Linked DNA regions of Oryzias latipes. The protein of the gene in region 1 interacts with the protein of each later gene in a pairwise test. Links are inferred from orthologs where the notes say so. Each region holds a gene or a part of one and is shown in the gene's direction. Other genes may lie near its edges. The genes, in order: ap1b1, ap1g1 and kif13a.

Region 1 (3,650 bases):
TTGCAGACACACTCTGCTGGCGATGCAGCGCCAGACTTTTTTTTGCCTCGACTTTGATGTCCGACCATTTCTTTTTTATTTAACCACGGTCCTAGGTTGTGAGGCTACAGCATTAACGGCGTCTGCCACTCACGTGGCTTTTCGGCATTAGTAATGCCCACACTGTGCCCATCATATATCACTTTTCTCCTCTTTTCCACCTCGCCAACGATAAATTCTACTTCACATTGAGTGAAGTTACGTTTTTTTCATTACCTCTCGGTGTGTGCCATGGTTTCGCAATCAATGAATATTCATTTGTGGGCGTTTCACGGACTATTTATGGGCAACTATGGGCGTGTCATGAGGCCGCAAAAGCTGCGCTGCATTTAGAATTGGTTCTGATTTATTAAGGGAAAGATGCGTAGGATGTGCGTGCGCACGGTTTTATAAATCTGAATATTTCTGTGCGTACGCACGTCCTATGTTTCATCCGTACGCCACTTCTGACGCAAATCCTACGCAAAGTTTTATAAATGAGGCCCCTGGTGTGTTACATATATTTTTGTTTTTGCTCCAACATCACATGTCAATCATCACAAAAATATCAGGAGAAAGGGGCGGGAGCAGCAAGGCCCCAACCTACCGAACGCAGCTGGAAATTTAGTACTGAACTGACTGAAAGCTGCCCTTTAACTACAAAACAATGCATTAAGGGACATGTGTCCTGATGGTTTTTGTAGTTAAATGAGAAATTGAAATAATTTAAAATACCAATTGATTAAAAATAGGCTACATCCATTACAAAACATTCAAATAAATATAAAATATATAATAACACAGATCATACTAAAGGGGAGAGGAATATTAAAACTAAATTGAACTGAATTGAACTTCAACTTCCTGTTCTCCTTCAGTCTCGCTGCAGATTCGCCATCAGCCATTCATCTCAAACACGTCTATCCTTGCATTTTCACCGCGTGTTTTAAGTGCGTCTCGGACTAAACCGTGTTGTTGCTCGCACGTGTTTAAAGTTCAAGCTCTGTTAGCTGTCACGCATGTAGGTGTGGGACATTTATTCTCCTCAGCTGACCCGACTCCCGCTGGAGCGGTGTGCTGCCGTAACAGCCGTGCATAAACCGTTTGGTTGGGGGGATGCGACGCCGCGCGCTTAACCGTAACCCCCGTAACCTACGGGTCCCAGAGAAAAGTTCAGCACGGATATTTTTTAATGTATAAAAAATATGGAGGGTGGGGGAGGCAAATTTACTGGTCGCACATGTGCGACTGGATGTAAAATTCAGTCGCACACTCTCAAATTTTGGTCGCAAAATGCGACCAAATGGTCGCAGTCTGGAGCCCTGTAGTATGTAGCTTTTTTGAATCATTAAAATGAAGAGCAACGTTATCAGTCACTGGTTAACCTTCCTGATTTCTGTCATCAGTCTGGAGAAAATTCCTTCAAGTTTGAGATTTTTGTGTTTATGCAGCGTTTTATGATTCAGGAAAATGCTACGTGGAAGTATCTTCAATGAACTGCATTTAAGAATGTTTTCATATGCGATTACTTTCACCGTTTAGGACTGTGAAGACCCTAACCCTCTCATTCGAGCGCTTGCTGTTCGTACGATGGGTTGCATTCGCGTGGACAAGATCACGGAGTATCTGTGTGAACCTCTGAGAAAATGTCTGAAGGATGAAGACCCTTATGTGAGGAAGACAGCTGCTGTGTGTGTAGCAAAGCTCCATGATATTAATGCCCAGCTGGTGGAGGATCAAGGTTTCCTGGACACCCTGAAAGATCTCATCTCTGACTCCAATCCCATGGTATGCTGTCTGTATGTACCTGCTTGTAGTTACATTTGGCAGATTTCCTACTCTTCTCTTTTTAGAGAAACCTCAACTCCATTTCCTTGATCATTTTTCAACATGTCTTTGTGTAAATTCCTTGCTTAGGAAAAAGAAAGTGTTTATATAACATTTACTTGTGTTTGGTTTGTCTTTAGGTTGTAGCAAATGCAGTTGCAGCTCTTTCGGAGATCGCAGAGTCTCATCCCAACAGTAATCTTCTGGATCTGAACCCTCAGACTATAAACAAGTTACTTACAGCTCTTAACGAATGCACAGAGTGGGGACAGATATTTATTTTAGACTGCCTGGCCAATTACACACCCCGTGATGATCGTGAGTCCCAAAGGTACATGAATAATCTTGACAGTATTTATCCTGGATGTCGGTTTGCTTACATTGAAAGGTTATTTCCTCACTGTCCCTCTCATTTCCCATTCTAATCTGCCAGCATCTGTGAGCGAGTCACCCCAAGGCTGTCTCATGCCAACTCAGCAGTTGTGTTGTCAGCAGTGAAAGTTTTAATGAAGTTCATGGAAATGCTGCCAAAAGACTTGGACTATTATGGCACTCTACTGAAGAAGCTGGCCCCTCCTCTGGTCACACTATTGTCTGCTGAGCCTGAGTTGCAGTATGTGGCACTTCGAAATATCAACCTCATTGTCCAGAGGCGGTAAGTTTTAGAAAAGCTCTTGCATCCAAGACTTCTTTAACTGCTTAGACATGTTGTTTGGAATCTGCCATATTTAGGCTACACACCCAATTAACCATTTTTGTCTTTAAGGCCGGAGATAATGAAGCACGAAATGAAAGTTTTCTTCGTAAAGTACAACGACCCCATTTATGTCAAATTGGAGAAGCTGGACATAATGATCCGTCTTGCATCTCAAGCCAACATAGCTCAAGTAACACACTTTGCTTCAATAGTTAAAAAATAAAATCAGACGGTGCTTCTGGAGAATCTAGATCTGGTACGTAACAGAGGTGTTTTTCTCTCTTTAGGTTCTGGCTGAGTTAAAAGAGTATGCCACTGAGGTGGATGTGGACTTTGTTCGCAAAGCCGTCAGGGCCATCGGCCGCTGTGCCATCAAAGTGGAGGTGGGCGGAGATGATGCATGATAGTCATTACTTTGTCAAAAATATATTTACCTTTCCAACACGCACACACACTAACGTTCTTTTTAAGTAAAGTAAAAGTAAGTTAAGTGCCGATTCAGACACCAGGTGGCTCTGTTTCTAAAAGACGTTTAAGCATTTAAGTCATGTATCTTCTGTAGTTCAAAGTTTGCAGTAAACTGCTAAAAACAAAAAAAAATAATAATTCTGTTGTCATTTTCCTACCTTAAAGTAAATATTTATGCAGTAGATGTTTGTTTTTAATCTGTTAAACTATGATATTAACACATTTTTAAATGTTTATGCATTTTTCTACACAAAAGATTTTCTCTTAGTCTGTATTTTTGTCTCAAGCTATAAAGCTCAGACTTTTTCCCCCATTGTACTCTAGCAATCAGCAGAGCGCTGTGTCAGCACCCTGCTAGACCTGATCCAGACCAAGGTCAACTACGTGGTACAGGAGGCCATTGTGGTTATCAAAGACATATTCCGCAAATACCCCAACAAGTAAGAGTTTTCTGCAACAAATATAAACATTCTAATAAATCTTCATTACCTCATTTGCATGTTTAAAATCTGAAAAATACTAAATGTTGTTTTAATGTTTGTAAATTGACCAGTTATTTCTGCTCCAGAAGAAAAAATGTGTGTTTGACACTTTTAAGGGTTTGGAAATGGTCAGAAGATAAGCTTTAGGCATTAAGGAC
Region 2 (4,175 bases), on another chromosome or scaffold:
TATCTTATTTTGTGTGGCAAAAAAGAAAGCCCTAGTTTTTAATTCAATAATTATTGATTTCTTTTTAAATTAGCGTACTATATGTATGTTAGAAAAAACGTGAAAATTTATTGAACTCATACTTTGTTTGTTTAGTTATTTGCTTTTAATAAAACAAATACTATCATTTTTTCCATCCAGGATAAAGGCAAATTAGTCCAAAGTGTTATTTATTGATGTTTAAGTTTTAATCCCTCATATGTTGCTTTGCAAAATATGTAATTCGTCTTATTGAAGTTCAACTCCCGACACCTGTGGGAGACCCAAAAAATAACCTTAACAACAAGGACATGTTAGTCATGCATACATGTACAACCATCTTGAATAAAAAGATGTATACCGTAATTAAAATGTTTTTGCTTTAAATCACTTTTACCAACACTTAAATGTAGCATCAAAAATATAAAATGAAGCATTTATGAGAGCCAAATTCCATTTTAAATGATATTTTAATGCATATCAATTTAATCCAAATTCTCTCTTTAAATAATTGTTACATTGAATTTCAAACCTAATCTTTATTTATAAACTAAATATACTAAGTATAATTAAACCTTTGCATGGTTTTGGTCAATTGAACAAAAACAAAACAAGTCTAAATTGGTATCTCATCAAAAAATAAATTATTGTTTTAGATCAAACCTCAAGAGGATCCTCTTAAGAGGACAAGAGACACCGCTAGGTGGCGCTTTAATTTACGGTACCACTGAACTCTCACATTGCATGCAGTCGTCATCACTGTATGCCACGAGTAAACTGACCGCAGCACGCCTTCGAGACGGACAGTGTACTCATCCGCAAGGTTAAAGGATAATATTCTATCTCAACAAAAGAAACCTCGCCTTGTCATTTAACACATGTTTCATGTAAAATGTCAGACAACGCATCTCAGTGTAACCAGGAATCCAATCTCAAATAAATACGTTTCGAAACCTTTTCAAAAAGATAATCGAGAACCAGATGGTTAAAGAAAACAACAGGCTCTATTGCTAGCGCTTTATAATAACGGGAACAGACCGAGCGTGCATTGTAGAAAACTGATCAAATAGAATAATTGATTTAATATTACAAAAGACCAATAGTGACATAACGGAACTATTACCCATGGTGTCCTGTAAACAGAGCTGTATCAGGTGTAATCTCGGTCACAGTGGTGACTTCTCTGCTTCCAGCCGTTCCTGCGATGATGACAAACTTGAGCTGAACGCCTTTTACCATCCTCTGAGAGTGTAACCCTCCGCCTGCGGTAGATGTACTGAGGCTGGAGTAGCCACCATTTTGCATGTCTAGTGTGTTCCTCCCTCCATCGCTAATAGAGACGAGTCCAGTCCTTTTCTGGCGTCATTACGGCTAGTAAGTACTTTGAAACAATAACATATCGACAGAAATGTGATAAAATGTAATTTTCTTAAACAAAAAACATTACGCGTGTGTTCGTGTCTGCGTTGTTATCTCAGAGAGAGTGCCACTGCATAGGAAGTTGCAGCGCTCAGTGCGCCGGGGCAGTGCCTGTCAGTAAGCTAAGTTAGCTACCATGTAGAGCAGTGCTAGGTATCTACGGGCTTAGCTATGCAGAATTCCCAAGTGTTTTGTGAAATATTTATTGTGACAGCACCTAACGATGACTGTGTAGTTAATATTTCCACTACTGGACCACAGCTCTTGTCCTGTAACTTATACACTAGTTAACAGCGAACTGTCAGGTAGCGAGCTGACGGTAGTACAGGGGGCTAGCTAGCTAGTTTGTAATCCAAATGTTCCACGAAGGCCTAAACGCATCATGTCCTCTTCACTTGGTGAACTCAGTCAGGTGTCGTAGCTCGAGGTTAAACAAAACCACTTTTCTAATTATTTTGTATGTTCATGTTGTTAATATTAACTTCTTGCATTTTATCAAAAAGCGTGAGTAAGCGGTAAAGCCTCTGTTGTTGCTAAGGATGTCCAAACATGATCCCTTTCGAGTAAAATGGGCACTTTTTGTAAAGCTACTTTTTACTCAGTTGTTGTGCCTCGTCGTTAAGATACTTGACAGTTTGCTGGAGCTTTAGATGTGGTTTTTAAATATTTAAAAACTTTAAAATGTCGAGTCAAGTTAGCTTTTGACATCCAGGAAGCTATAGCTCACTAAAGACGTGAATTTGTTTTTATAATGTTTACAAAACAGTTGGTGTCATTGAAGCGTCTTCCTTAGTAGATTTCTGTAATGAAACATCTAATTAATTTCCATTATAGCACTTGTTGCTCAGGACTGGTTAACGTTAAGGAAGTCGAGGTATAAGTAGGAAGTGCGCTACGAGTGTGACGTTCTGCGTATCGACGTGTCTGCTGGGTTGTCTTTAGTGTTAATGTTTCTGTTGACCAGGACCAACACACCTTTCAGGAGTTCAGGGGCCTCTTGGCGTAGGTGAGGATAGGCTTACAATCATACTATAAATTAATTATTGGTTTACAATAATTGTTAATTAACATTTGGGGTTTGTTTTTCTCAACTCTTTCGTATTAAATGGTCAGTGAAAAATATTGAGTGTCTTGCCTTTTTACTTTAGGTCTGAGGCCTTAGTAACCACCAACACAAAGTATAAAAAATCCATTTTGTATTTTCAAGTTCAAAGGAAGTTTATGCATGTTAAGCAGCTTTGAATAGATGGAGTTAAAGGCCCTCTCCTGTTAAAATTGTTGGTGTTTTTAACATGTTCCCGTGGCATTGTTCTCATGATGGAGTACATATATGCATACATAGAAAATTAAGCTAAAAATAGAATTTCTGTGCATTTCTTTATTCAAATTGTTGTGAATCAAGAGCAGAAGAAAAAATGCACTTGGAAGAAGCTGTGACATAAGTCCCCTGTTCAGCTTTATTCTGATGCATCTACTTGTAGACTAATGGATCCAAATAGATTGGCATCTGGCGCAAAACTAAACAGCTGGATATCTCCGATATTGCTCGCCATTTTTGTTTCACCGTTAATGTTACGTTGGTGCTGTGAGGTACTGTACTAGGGAACCAGTGGGAGAGCACGTAAATAGATGATGGGAAGTAAGGGAAAGATTACAGCATGGCAATAGTCCCACCCACAACTCAGAGGTAATTTTCTAATGAGCAACAGATTACTAAGTAGTGAGTTAATAAGGGAAACTCCTTTAATGCTGAACTGTTTTGTTAGATGGATCAAATCTGTATATAAATGAATGGATTTGACCTTTTTAAATGCAAAGTTATCCCAATTTAATAAATGCTACTTGGCAAGTATTGAATCATTAAGATCCCAGATAAGTCCTGTTTTATTTGAGCTTTTGTTTGGGGCTGCTTCCCGATTGTTTTACTGCTCCTGTCACTAATGCAGTATTTTGTAGACTGGAAGAAGTGGCTAAAGATCTGCTGAACATATTGTGCATTTGCTTGGCTAATATAAGACTAGCAAAATAAAATGTCTGGGACCAAATGTAGTTTTGTTTAATGCAGATTTCCTCTTAACAAAGTTGCAAAGCATTATGGCCACCATTAATCCACATTATCTTGTTACTTTAGCCATTAGGACACAACTCCAATGTCCCCTCCTGTGACACACCCACATTAGCCAACTCCTCTGTTTTGCATTCAATCTGAAAGGGTTGTTCTTTTCACCCAGGGACATGGGGGTTGGTCATGCGTCTATCTTGGATTGCAATCTCCCCGAATTCATTGAAAACAAAATAAAATCCAAAATATATTTTTCATCCTGATTCTGTCCCTAAAACATGTCATGTCATGTGATTGACCATATTTCTCATCTCTAGAAGTGCTCATCCTGCAGTTTAAAATAATAAATCAGTCACTTCTTGGACAGATCTGAAAGCACAGTTTCATGAAAAGTTGAGCCACTTTTTGACAGGACACAAATAAAAACACCCAGCAGAATCTGTCGTGTGCTCTCTTAGGAATGGGGTCAGTAATTTTTTTAGGTGAAAATAATCTGCAGTGTCATGATTATTTATTAGCTCCAGCAACATGACAGCCAGGCTGATAGGATCATTTCTGCTGAGTCTGTGATTAGAACTGCAAGAGAGGCCTTCAAATAAAAAAAGGTTTTAGATTCACATAAACAAAAGTATGACCTCAACAGAAGTCTGAAATTGACAAGAGAGCAAAGTCTTCA
Region 3 (4,433 bases), on another chromosome or scaffold:
TTTTCTCTAATAAACCTGAATAAAGCATATGCTTACAAAACATGTTAGATCTGAACCCAGACCCATTTTTCATTAGAGCAATACTATGCGGGATCTACTGTACCACTGACCAAGTGGATCTCAGAACACATTTCTGATGTCTTTCTCTTACACATGTCGCCATTGGTTCTTATTAGTTAAATTGATGATTTGTCAAAATTTGGATAGATTTTTCCCGGATGAGATTTGTCCAGTATCTTTGTAGTTCGTGCATTTGTTATAACTTTAAGCTTAAAAAGACCTCCACCACTGGGAAATAAGTAATATTTGTAAGGCATTAAAGGGAGTCATCAGTATTATATGCCAAACATGACAGTGTTGGGTGTGTGGATGTAGTTAGCTAGGAATGTATGCAGTTTTTTGAATTCTAAACCGTTATAAAATGTATGCAGAAATAAAAATTATTCCCACTCCAATCCTCTTTAGATCTATTGTAAAAGCTTTCCAAGTAGTCTTTTATTTACAATTATTGAGTTTTTAGGCAAAATGAAAAAAAAAAAACGGTCATTTTCTAGGACATAGAGCGATGGTAGATCCTTAGAATTTGCCTCTAATTAAACAGACATCCTTCTGTTTACACTTTCTCATGTTAGCTTACATCCCAGCAACATCCCCCAATCTAACATTACTGGTGCTGCAAAAATGGTGAGCAATTTTGCAGCTATCCAGCCAAACCGTTTTGAGCCAGATGCCATGAAGGAAAAGGAAGATAGTCATAGATCTATTTGTCTGCAAGTGGATACATCCCAATGGTGCGGAGAATGGGGCTTGTGACCTACCATTTGTAGCACCTACATCATGACAACATGCCGTTTTCCAACTGCATTTTTTTGTCTGCTTCTGATTCACAACAATTTGAATAAAGTTGTTGTTGTTCACCCTTAGGCAAATCCTTTCAGAGGTTGCCACAGTAAATCAGCTTTCACTAATTCCCACAAGTGGTTTGGCAGAGATTTTTAATGCCGGAAGCCCTTCCTGACTGTATTTCATCTGGGTTGGGGACTGCTCCTGTGGCTACACAATGATTTCCCATGCACCAGTCCTACAACTGAACCATCCAGCTTCAATGATTTGATTAAAGAAATACTAAGAAAAGCCTAATTTTCTTTAAATATGTCTATGTATGTCCGGCATCATGAAAAAAATGCCACAAGAGAACATGTTAAAAACACCATAAACATAATTGTTATTGGTGTTGGTCTTTAAAATGTAGAAAAAAGTGGTTAAATAACTTTATTTCTAAAAAAAAAAAAAAAAAAGTATAATAATTGTTGAAAACTTGCAGCTTGGAAAAAAATGTAGTATTGTAAATTTTGTCTTATTATTTTTGATATTAAGTTAAAAAAAACAAATACTGTGTTTATATGGATTTATGAGATTGCTTATTGGAGAACAAACGACTGGATCATGCAGATTTCCATAAGAAAGTAAAGAGTTAAATTCAAATTTTAGTCTTTTTTTTTTTACGTTTCCAGGCTTAAAGGTGCCATGTCCAAAAAATTTCCAGAGGGTGTTTAGTTTAGTCACTCTCCACTGTGGATCTCGTGATGAAACCCTAAAAAAGTTTTAGCACCAGAAAGCTTCTTGACTCAGTCACTGAAGTTCGCCTCAGCATTGGATTCGTCCGCCACATTCATTGCTGCTGGATGTGGAGCAGTCTGTCACAGACCAACATTAACGCTCGTTGATGTTTTCCTCCTGATGAGCGGCGCGGCCCGTCCACCCTCTCTCCCCCCTGAGAGCCGCAGCCTCCCCCGTGTGCCAGAGGAGAGCAGTCGTTGCTCCCAGCGGAAGATGGCGGTGGAGATGCTGTCTGGCGCTGGAGCGGAGGGCTTCAGAGGCACAAGAGGCCAACTCGGATGGATTTAGAGGAGAGCGGGGAACGGAACTTATTTCCATGTCTTCGCCTCGAAGAAGTCTGGAGCATTTCGGGACATTTTTGACTCGCGTCTGCTGCCCCTTTCGCCGGCAGAAGCCCGGGCTTGTTCTTCTTGTCGGGGATTCACAGACTGCACTCTGAGCTCTCAGACAGACGGGTGGGAGTAAAAAAAAAAAAAGTGGACGAAAATGTCGGATACAAAGGTAAAAGTTGCGGTGAGAGTTCGGCCCATGAACCGCAGGGGTAAGTATATCTCCTCGCGCGCTCACATTTACACTTCAACTTTTTTCCCCTTTCTTCGTCATTGTTGCTTTGAGTTTTGAAACGATGGAAGTGTCGCTCGTGCGCGGTTTTCACAAAATAATCCCTCAAACACCCCTCCCCCCTTAATAAATAATAATAATAATAATAATAATCTTATCTCTGCAGAGATTGAATTGAACACTAAATGTGTCGTGGATATGGAGGACAACCAAACCGTCCTGCACCCTCCACCCTCCAACGCGAAAGGAGAGAACAGCAGGTAACCGAGGCCGACTCCACTGTATTCGTCAAATCCAGTTAGGCTCACAGTCACACACGTGAGGCGAGAAATGTTGAGTCAGCGCGAGTTCATCTTGACACTTGGGTATAAATGTCAGTGGAAGGGCAGGAAAAACACAGGGTTAGTTCTCTAATGAAAGGTAATCTGTCGTACAGCAACTGTAGCACTCCAGATGAGCAAATCACCACCAATCAAACTCAATTGTCTGTAGGTGGTTTTCTCTGGAGGGTGGACGTCTCCTTCTTGACAGTCACAGAATATGGTCCAGCAGGAATATTCTATTGCACTGCATTTTGCACATGGCACCAAGCTATAATTTATACAAATTTTCCAATACCAATTGCTGTAATGATAATGAGCCATAACTTCTCTGCTATGTGTGCTCTACCTTTGAGTGTGTCTGTGCAGGGCTCTGGTTCCTTTTCAGATCAATATTTTTTTTAGGAGTCTCCACAAACCCACCACTGACCCCACTCATGACTTTTGTCCTATATAGGAAAAGCACATACCTGTCTGCCAAAGGTCTCGAAATGTCAGAGTGAAATCCAAACTATGAAGTGGAGAGATCTTTCCATAGATCTACTGGAAGGGGTTGGTGTGTAGATGAACAGATATGAACTTTTTAGCAGAAGTTTAAAAGGGAAAGCAGCTTTTCTCTCCGGTAGATATGGTTGGAAACAAGAAATTTAAGAACAGAGAACAAAGAAGATCGATGAAGAAGCTTTTTTTTTTTTTTTAGACAAAAGCAGTGCCATCACTGCTGATATGGCGATTGCATTGTCACATCTGCTGAACGTAGCCTTCCAAGTTAATGGAGTCAGAATGACAGAGCTCATTATTATGAAATAAAGCTTTTTTTATTGGAAGTTCTCTATTTAATACAAATAGGAAGTCTGTAGATTGGTACAAGGTTTGAATTAAACATTGTTTGATGGTTTGCCCTCATAGGCAGTGTTTAAATGCCTAATGAATGTTGTAGGTTAATACTGATTTAGTCTGGAGGCACTTTAAGTCAATACAGGGGTCCCTCGTTTATTGAAGCGTTTATGTTCTAAAAATAATCTGCGATAGGTGAATGGATGAAATAGAATTGCAAATGTTTTGTTGCTGTAAAAAACGTTAACTACTCTCTTTTCTCAGACAGACATGAAGATTTTATAGAAGATTTAAACGTTTTTAGAAAAATAAGTCCAATATGCTGTTATATAATGAAAAAAAAGATCTGCTCGCGATTGAAGATTTATAGATTTGGGAAACTAAACTTTGGCATTGACTGTATATATAAACTTAATAGTCTTGACACATGGCATGGAGGAGGTTAGTTGATAAGGTCTACAACCAATCAGGACGCAGAACAAAGTGTGCTGTTCAAAAATAAAAGCATGCAAAATTGTATTGAAAATAAATCAGCAAGACCGCATAGGGTGAACAACGATACAGCTATGGACCACTGTATTACAAATACAATGTTTTGTTTTTGAATCAAATTAGAAACGGGTCCTTAAACCCGACACATAATTGACAGTCACTGCCAATGTGGACATCTTTTCTGCTTTCTGCTTCATCTCCATCCTTTCTGTAATTGTGTAAATGTCCTGTGTTTACAATATTATATCATATTATAGTAGTGTTACATTCTATGTACCATCAAGCGATCAATTTGTTTTCTTTACAGCCGACATTGCTGACAGTGATGGGAAAATCTTTACTGAAACAAATACCACACTGGAGCTCACTGGACGTCTTTTTCTGCAAACATTCTTTCCTATTGTAATGGGGTGATTGCACAGCATGTATTTTAGTGACGACTGAATGCTTGTAAATGTTCTGCCTGTTAGCATCAGTCAGAGATGGGGTTTTTTTTGCCGCCAAAAGCTGCAATGTAATTTAGCCCCCTTTTTGTTATTTTTACACATGATTGCACACCTGACCTGATATCCACAGGCACGCAGACAATCTAAGAGAATGGTC

Evidence for each region.
Region 2: the proteins of ap1b1 (region 1) and ap1g1 interact in a two-hybrid assay, tested with the Homo sapiens proteins (2 studies listed by BioGRID, with this or other methods). The link is inferred for Oryzias latipes from reciprocal best matches to the Homo sapiens genes AP1B1 and AP1G1.
Region 3: the proteins of ap1b1 (region 1) and kif13a interact in binary tests that used the Homo sapiens proteins (3 or more experiments, as listed by UniProt). The link is inferred for Oryzias latipes from reciprocal best matches to the Homo sapiens genes AP1B1 and KIF13A.

The regions. Positions count from the first base shown.
Region 1 is NC_019867.2:12,650,070-12,653,719, reverse strand, and holds part of ap1b1 (AP-1 complex subunit beta-1), read left to right. Parts: intron 1-1,560; coding exon 1,561-1,806; intron 1,807-1,985; coding exon 1,986-2,176; intron 2,177-2,278; coding exon 2,279-2,500; intron 2,501-2,611; coding exon 2,612-2,732; intron 2,733-2,829; coding exon 2,830-2,925; intron 2,926-3,334; coding exon 3,335-3,450; intron 3,451-3,650. UniProt on the Homo sapiens protein: Subunit of clathrin-associated adaptor protein complex 1 that plays a role in protein sorting in the late-Golgi/trans-Golgi network (TGN) and/or endosomes.
Region 2 is NC_019861.2:21,119,689-21,123,863, reverse strand, and holds the start of ap1g1 (AP-1 complex subunit gamma-1), read left to right. Parts: upstream 1-1,290; 5' UTR 1,291-1,392; intron 1,393-4,175. UniProt on the Homo sapiens protein: Subunit of clathrin-associated adaptor protein complex 1 that plays a role in protein sorting in the late-Golgi/trans-Golgi network (TGN) and/or endosomes.
Region 3 is NC_019874.2:16,425,336-16,429,768, reverse strand, and holds the start of kif13a (kinesin-like protein KIF13A), read left to right. Parts: upstream 1-1,532; 5' UTR 1,533-2,106; coding exon 2,107-2,161; intron 2,162-2,347; coding exon 2,348-2,441; intron 2,442-4,433. Other genes in the region: E3 ubiquitin-protein ligase NHLRC1, read left to right, coding at 1-23. UniProt on the Homo sapiens protein: Plus end-directed microtubule-dependent motor protein involved in intracellular transport and regulating various processes such as mannose-6-phosphate receptor (M6PR) transport to the plasma membrane, endosomal sorting during melanosome biogenesis and cytokinesis.